2 linked regions of the Canis lupus familiaris genome follow. The protein of the gene in region 2 purifies or fractionates together with the protein of the main gene of each other region. This does not show direct contact. Links are inferred from orthologs where the notes say so. Each region holds a gene or a part of one and is shown on either strand. Other genes may lie near its edges.

What was found.
Region 1: the proteins of CCT3 (region 2) and TLE2 purify together in Homo sapiens (affinity purification with mass spectrometry; 3 studies listed by BioGRID and IntAct, with this or other methods). This does not show direct contact. The link is inferred for Canis lupus familiaris from reciprocal best matches to the Homo sapiens genes CCT3 and TLE2.

The regions. Positions count from the first base shown.
Region 1 is NC_049241.1:56,607,523-56,611,264, reverse strand, and holds the start of TLE2 (transducin-like enhancer protein 2), read right to left. Parts: upstream 2,300-3,742; 5' UTR 2,211-2,299; coding exon 2,187-2,210; intron 2,108-2,186; coding exon 2,010-2,107; intron 1,571-2,009; coding exon 1,507-1,570; intron 1,106-1,506; coding exon 1,061-1,105; intron 1-1,060.
Region 2 is NC_049228.1:41,548,618-41,552,359, reverse strand, and holds the start of CCT3 (T-complex protein 1 subunit gamma), read right to left. Parts: upstream 2,675-3,742; 5' UTR 2,544-2,674; coding exon 2,513-2,543; intron 2,465-2,512; exon of another isoform or gene 2,404-2,464; intron 671-2,403; coding exon 609-670; intron 1-608. Other genes in the region: TSACC (TSSK6-activating co-chaperone protein), read left to right, coding at 2,789-2,926, 3,595-3,652. UniProt on the Homo sapiens protein: Component of the chaperonin-containing T-complex (TRiC), a molecular chaperone complex that assists the folding of actin, tubulin and other proteins upon ATP hydrolysis.

The DNA.
Region 1 (3,742 bases), on a different chromosome or scaffold from region 2:
GGTGCTGTGTGCCTCGTGCATCTGGGCAGGGCTTGAGTTCCCACTGGGAGGGTGGGGGCCGGGCCCTAGCACCTGCCTGCCCCCTCCCACCCCCTAAGATGGTCTATTTCATGAACCCCCAGGACCACGCCCTACTCCAGCCAGGTCAGCCCCCGCCCGCCGCGGCCCACACCAGAGCCAGCAGAGCCCACGCATACCCAGAAAAGCACACCAGGGCGGGCACCCTGAGGCAGCCCACACTCTTAGCCCACTCCCCCTCCTCTTCCCACCCACCCGGAAGGAGTGTTGTTTTAGGCTCCACCCCCCCCACCCCTACCCTGTTCTGATAGTCTCAGGGACAGAACCTAAGACCCCATCAACCTCACAATCTTTTGGGGTCCCTCATCTATCAGAGAACCTTGAGGTCAGTGTCAGGTCCTTGGGGTTAATTTTTTTTTCTTTTTTTAAGTAGGCTTGGTACCCAGCGTGGAACCCAACACAGATGGGGCTTGCACTCACGCCTCTGAGATCAAGACCTGAGCTGAGATCAAGAGTCGGATGCTTAACCGACTGAGCCACCTGGGCACCCCGTCTCGGGGTTAATCTTGAACAACTGGAGTCAATTTGAGACCCTTCTGGTCTGAGAACCTTGCATCACACTCAGAAGCTGATGAGAGTCTCGGACCCTCAGGGCACTAGGGCCAATCTTACATCCTTTAAAGCATCAACAGCAGCTTGGGGTCCAGCTCAGATCATCAGGATCCATCCTCCAAACATGAGACTCTCTGGCCTGAAAGGGACCTCCCTGGGCCAGAAGTCACCTCCACTGCCTGCCCGACCTGGCTGCAGCCTCTGCCACAAGCCCTCCTTGACAGGGACACCTGGCTCCTGCCCACTTCTCGCCTCTCTGCTGGACCCTGTCTCCAGAAGTTCAGAACTGTTTTCCTTCTGTGAGGCTGAAATCTGGCCCCCTGGTCCCAGAGATTTCAGGATAAGACCCGGACTGCCTGAGCGCTGGGTCTCTCTCACAGCTTCCAGACCCTCACCCTTCCTCCTGAACACCCCGAGCCCCAACAGTTACCTGTTTATGCATTTCGATGTTGAGCCCGTAGGACATCTCATAATACTGCAAAGGAAGAGCCAGTTGGGAATGTCTACTGTGCCAGTTGGTGCCCAGCCTTGAGCTGGGTGATGCTGGGGCTTCCGGGGAGCCCCCAGGCTGGGGGAATCACAGCAGGGCACAGAGCCTCCCCCCAAGCCCAGAGGGGAAGACCAGAGGAGCAAGCAGGGAGGGTGGCAGGAGGAGGTGCCCAGAGACCCCGGCCCCTCAGAGATGCCCATCAGGAGAGGGGACATCCTTGCCTCATTATTTGTAGGATGGCCAGGAATCCCAACCAGCCCCCTTTACAAGACGGAAAATGAGGCCCGGAGGGGCAGGGTGAGCGGGGAGTCAAACCCCCAGCGCTTTCAGTCACAGCGGAGCCCCCTCCCCACTGCCCGCAGCTCCTGGCACCCGAAGCCCCTCACCATGACATAATGTCGTTGCATTTCTGTCTTCTCACTGGCCAGCTTCTCACACTCCAGCTTGAGGCTGGGAAGGAGAGGAGCATGGGGATCCCACTCTGCGCCCTGCCTCTACTCCCACCGCGCCCCACCCGGCACAGGACGCAGAGATACCCGGTCTGGGCCAGTTTCCAAAGTGATGGCTTTGGCTCCGTCCCCTGTCCCCACTTCCTGCTCGCCGCCCCACCTCCGTCCAGTCCCTTCCCGCCCCTTCTCAGGCTCCAAGCGCCCCAGTGCTGAGCGTCCCCGGCCACCTCACCTGCGCTTCCACCTGGAAGCCCTCCCTCGGCCCTGCAGGGGGGGCTCCCTCCTCCCGGCACCCTGGAGGCCCCGCCCCCGCCTGGCTGCGCCCGGGGGCCCCCAGCGGGCCCGTCCCCCCCCCCCGGGGGGCTCCCAGGTGAGCTCCCAGGTGAGCTCCCAGGTGAGCTCCCGGCTCCCCCGGGGCGCGGCGCCCCCGCCCCCCTCACCTGTGGTACTGAGCCTGAAGAAACTGGAATTCCTCTTTGATGCGGTCGCAGATCTCCAAGATCGAGAACTTGAAGGGCTGGCCGGACTGGAGCGGGGTCTGCGGGCGGGGGCGCGGCGGGGTCTGAGCTCCGGGCGCCCGCGCCCCCCGCCCCCGCGCGGCCCGGGCCCCCACTCACCGGGTGCCTCCCCTGGGGGTACATCCTGGCGATGCGGAGGCCCCCGCGCCGCCGGAGCCCGACGATCCCGGGGGGGCGGCGGCGGGGCCGGGGGCGCCCGGAGGCAGCAGGAGGGGCGCGGCGGCGCGGGGCCGGGACCCGGAGCGCCCGCGCCCCCCCGAGCGCGCGGGGCGGGGGCGGGGCGGGGGCGCGGGCGCGGGGCGGGCGCGAAGGTCGCGCGAGCCGCGGCCCGGTGTCGGCGGAGGCGCGGGCGGCGGGCCCCGCGCGGAGCCGCCTCCCTCCGGCGGGGCTCGGCCGGGAGCCGCGGGCAGAGCCGCCTTAAGGTGGCGCCGCCGCCCCCCGGCCCGCCCACCCGCCCGCCCGCCGCGCCCCCCGCGCCTCGGGCCCGCGCCCCGGGACCCCGCCCCCGCCCCGCCCCCGGCCGGGCCCCGTGGGGAAACTGAGGCCCGCGCCCAGTGCCCCGCCGACGCCGCCCGCTCCCTCCCCGGAGGAGAGACGTGCAGGGAAGCCAGACACACCTCGGCGGGGGGCGGGGGGGTGCTGTGGGGGGCAGCGTGCTGGGGAGGGGGCGGTTGGGGTGAAGGGGCCCTCCCGAGGGAGAGGGCTGAGACAGGTTCTGGAGGAGGCCGGCAACCTGCACCGAGGAGGGCAGACCCCGCTCGCCCCCTCCGGCCTCAGTATTCGCATCTGTAAAACGGCAGAGCCTGGAGCTGTCCTTTAAGGAGATGGGGCCTGAACAGCCCCCAGCCTGGCCCTGCACGAGCAAACTCCCGCAGCTGGGACTCGGACTCCCCTTGCCACCAGCAGCAGACTGCGAGCTCCTAGAGGGCAGAGCAGGCCCTGAGAAGGGCAGCCGAATCCCTGCCACCAGACCGGGGTCGCTGGGGGCAGGCGCTCCACTGGGGGCACAGACCGCAGCCAGCCTGGGAGCATCCCCCACACTCACCTGGGACATCGCACCTCCTTGCTCCCATCTTGGTAGGAAAAACCTCAAAGTTTGTTAAGTCGGTCAACAAGCATGCCTGGAGCACCTCCTGCGGACCAGACACAGCTCTAGGCACCGAGGCGCAGCGGACACAAAATAGAGAGAAACCCCTGCCTCGCGGTGATGCCTGCCCCTGTGTTGGAGGCGGGGGAGCCAAAGTAGACGAAGCCCTCCCGAGCTGAGCAGCACCGCCTTCCAGCCAACAGATAATTTATTGAGCATCTATCAGGGGCCAGGTATCCTTCCAGGTGCCAGGAATACGAGGGTGACCGAAGGGGAAGCGATTCTGGCCCTCTCCGAGCTCTGCGGACAAGGCACAATCACAGCTTGGCGATTGGGGAACTATTTGTGTGTACAGAGAAAGACTTTGGGGAGCAGTGGTGGAGACAAGAGGGAACCTACTTATCTGGGGTGCCTGAGAGACATGCGACCTACCCAGGATGGGAGCGCAGGGGAGAAAGAGATCCTGAGGACAGAGATGTGTGTGTGTGTGTGTGTGTGTGTGTGTGTACTAGTGTTCAATGGCTCCCTATTGTCATCAAAATAAAATCCAAACTCTTCTCTTTTCCCA
Region 2 (3,742 bases):
ACGCTAATAGAATTATGCACAATATGAAAAGACTATTAAGCCTAACTCATTGCGGGAGGGCATCCTACCACCATCAGAGAAATGCCCTCAAAAAAGGCAAGTCAAACTTTTCTTCTGCCTAATTGCAAATGAATACAGAAATACTAGGGAAGGCAGCTGAAAGCAAACTCATCAACGTTAAACTATTTAAAAGATATGCTACTGGGGCACCTGGGTGGCTCAGTTGGTTAAGTGTCTGCTTTCAGCTCCCAGGGTGCTGGGATCAAACCTCACATCGGGTTCCCTGTTTAGCAGGGAGTCTGCTTCTCCCTCTCCCTGTGCTCCTCTCTCCCGCTCCTGCTCTCTCTCTCTCAAATAAATAAATCTAATCTTTATTTAAAAAAAAAAACCATTTTATTTATTCATTCATAGAGACACACACACACACACACACACACACAGAGACAGAGATACAGGCAGAGGGAGAAGCAGGCTCCATGCAGGGAGCCCGACGTGGAACTCGATCCCGGGTCTCCGGGATCACGCCCCAGGCTGGAGGTGGCACTAAATCCGCTGAGCCACCAGGGCTGCCCTAAATCTAATCTTTAAATGAATGAATGATATGCTACCTTGGCGGCATTGATGTTTCCAGATTGAACCTTTCTTCCAGATTCACGCTTTGTGTTCTGGCCTAAAACAGATAAAGTAAAATGTGATAGACCAGGATTCACCCACTGTGTAGCAACTATTTACTCCCTGACCTTTGGAAATAACACACGCACACATGCACACACAGGTTTTACAGATATACAAAGAACAAACCTCAATGAATCCTATGCTCTAGATACATGTAGGTTATTACATATCAAAATACCTTTGAAAACTTAAAAACAACAACAACACTAAAACATGTATTTATGGCTACATTTTTATGTCAACCCCTGGCATACAAACAATCCCTAACGCTTCAACTATGAAACCCTGGTCATCTCTTTCCCACTAACCAAATATTCACGAATTAACAGCAAAGATTCATACTGAGGTCCATAAATGGGCTAGTGGAATGGTAAACTCCTAGAGATTATATGAGAAAATGGGAAGGTACTGCATTCTTGACTGGGAAGAGGATCTATATCCTATTCTCAAAGAGCTGGTAACCTAAAAAAAAGCATCAGTCATTGCTTTCTGTAAAAAAAGGAAGGAGTTTGGGGGTTCTTATTTTCCTATTTGGGCAGGAGGAATTATACTAACCATCCCAGCACAATTACTGATAGCGCCCCCACAGTGTGCTGTGGAATTAGACTGTCCTCTCAGAGTGGCTCAGTTTGCAAGATAATCACTGCATGCTAGGATATAAGTAAGGATGCCTCAGTAACCGCTCTACCATCAGATTTTAACAGGGAGCCTACTCAGTCATAGTCACTAGTGCCAGAAAATAATGAAGACCCAAAAAAGGCTTCACACACAACCACCACTCACCCCTGGGGCCCTCCCAATGGAGACAAGCCAGTGGCTACAACCAAACCGCCGATTTCCCTCCTTCCAAATTACACATTCCCTACAATTTAAATCAGTAAAATTTTCAACCAGTCCCATCAAATCTACACGCTCACAACCCTCAGAATTTAGATTCATGTTTCGAGTAGCAGTAACTAAAATCCTGCACAGACTATTCTGATGGGCTCCTCAGAAAAAACAAAAGACAAAAACAAAAACAAAAACAAAAAACGGGCTTTTTCCCGGTTCAGTAAAAAAAAAAAAAAAAAAAAAAGTTTTTTTCCCGTGAAAACAGTGATTCCCAGGTACAGGGAAAAGGCATAAAACCGCTTTATTGCATTTTGTATACATAAAACGGTAAGGGAGGAACAAGAGTTTGCAGACGAGGTACAGAAGTTACACGAGGAACGGGAATATCCCAGGAGAAGACAATGGAGCGAATCCTCCTTAGAGAGAAATTCAGGAAAACTCAGTAGGTAGGATCACAGCGCGGAGGACACCGCGGGGCCAATTACATCGAAGCCGGACCCCGCGAAAGGAGACCCCGGGAGGGCGTTACTGAGAAATTACCAGGGCATCGCTCGCTGTGCGCGGACGCCCCCCCCCCCCCCCGCCCTCGTCGGCAGCGTCCCTACTTCAGTCACTTAAGCCCCCGATCCGACAAGAAAATACTGTCGAGACCCCCGATAAAAACGGAACGCTCGAGCCAGGCGATGTGGCGGGGTCAAGGGCCGGAGCTGGGAGGCCAGGCCTGACCACATCCCGTTCTCCGCGCCCGCACCGAGAACCACGCGAGCAGGGGTGCAGTGGCGGCGGAGGGAGCCCGGGTGCCCGCAGACCAGCGGCCCGGCCCGGCCCAGGCCCTAAGGGAACCGGCTCGGGGCAGAAAGAGGAGAAGGAAAGGGGATTCCGAAACCAACGACGACGGGAAGGCTGCGCGGCAGGACCAGGGCGGGACCGGGCTGGGGCAACACGCCAAAGCGCGGAGGTAAAGGGCGAAAAGAGGCCCCTCCTGCCCCGCCTTCCCCCAACTCACTGAGCACGAGCACCGGACGATGGCCCATCATGGCGGCGCGATGCAGAACCGGGTACCCAGAGCTGGGGCAACCGGCAGAACCTTCTGGAGAGAGAGAACCAGCGAGAAGCCCAGAAAACGCTGCCTCCTCAGGGCTTACACCTAAACCCGCTACCCTCCGGGTCGCTGCCAATCACTGCAGCCAGCTCATTGAGCGGCAAGAAAACCGGCCAATAGGCTTTCTTAGTCCCGCCCTCTACGCAAGAACGGCAGAGCAAGCTAGATAGAGAGCGCACGATGATGGCGAGGGGAGGGCCCGGGCGCTTGCGCAGTAGGGTGGCCGCTCCCGGCCGCGTGCGGCGCGCAGGTCGGCGCAAGCGCGGAGGCTGGGGCAGTTGGCCGCGACGCCACCGCGCATGTGTATCAACCACAAGGGTGGGACCCGGATCGGAGGCTCTCGAGTAACAGCGCTGGTGAAGTTACTGAGCTGGCCCGCGCCTCGGGTCCTTTGGGGGCGATGGTCTCTGTCCAGTCTTAGCTGCGGGAGGGACCGCGGCGCGGCCACTTCGGGAACTTGGTCCCCGGGGCGGTTGAGTGGCAGAGCCCTTCCCGGGGCGCCCCAGCGCGCCCCTCGCCCTCCTCTCGCAGGTGCTTCCCGCAGACGCTGGGGGCGAGCCCGGGGGTTCCTCGCGCAGCCGGGCCGTCTTTCCACGCCGGTACCCCGCGCCCTCCTGCGCTTTCTCTCGGCCCATGACAGGTGATGGGGAGCCAGGCTGCTGCAGTGACCTCAGAGGACAGGAGAAGGGCTGGTGCTGCAGAAGGGAAACATTGAGGGAAGCCCCGTTACTGGGAGACTCTGAAGGTTTGGGCTTAGTTAAGTGACGACTTGCCCAGAAGAGAGGATATAACAGTCAGGGACACCGCTGTTTTCCAAACCAGCGAAGGGACCATGGGAGCACTTGGCCATGAAGCAGAACAGTGCCTTCTTTCATACATCTTCCTCCCTAAATTGGAGCAGCGTCAGATGTGCTGGGGAGAAGTTAAACTGTCAGCGGTAAAATGGTAGCATGAGTTGATCATGTAACGCTGTGATTCTTCCCTAGGCACCACACCTTCTTGGTGTCCAGATGGAGCAGCATGCTAGCCACCCGAACGAAAAAGGTGTGTGTCTGAGGCCCCTTGCCCCCTGCCTTGAAAGCCAGACCTTCTTAATTGCTCAGAATTTGGGAAGGTGATTCTAATTATGCATAT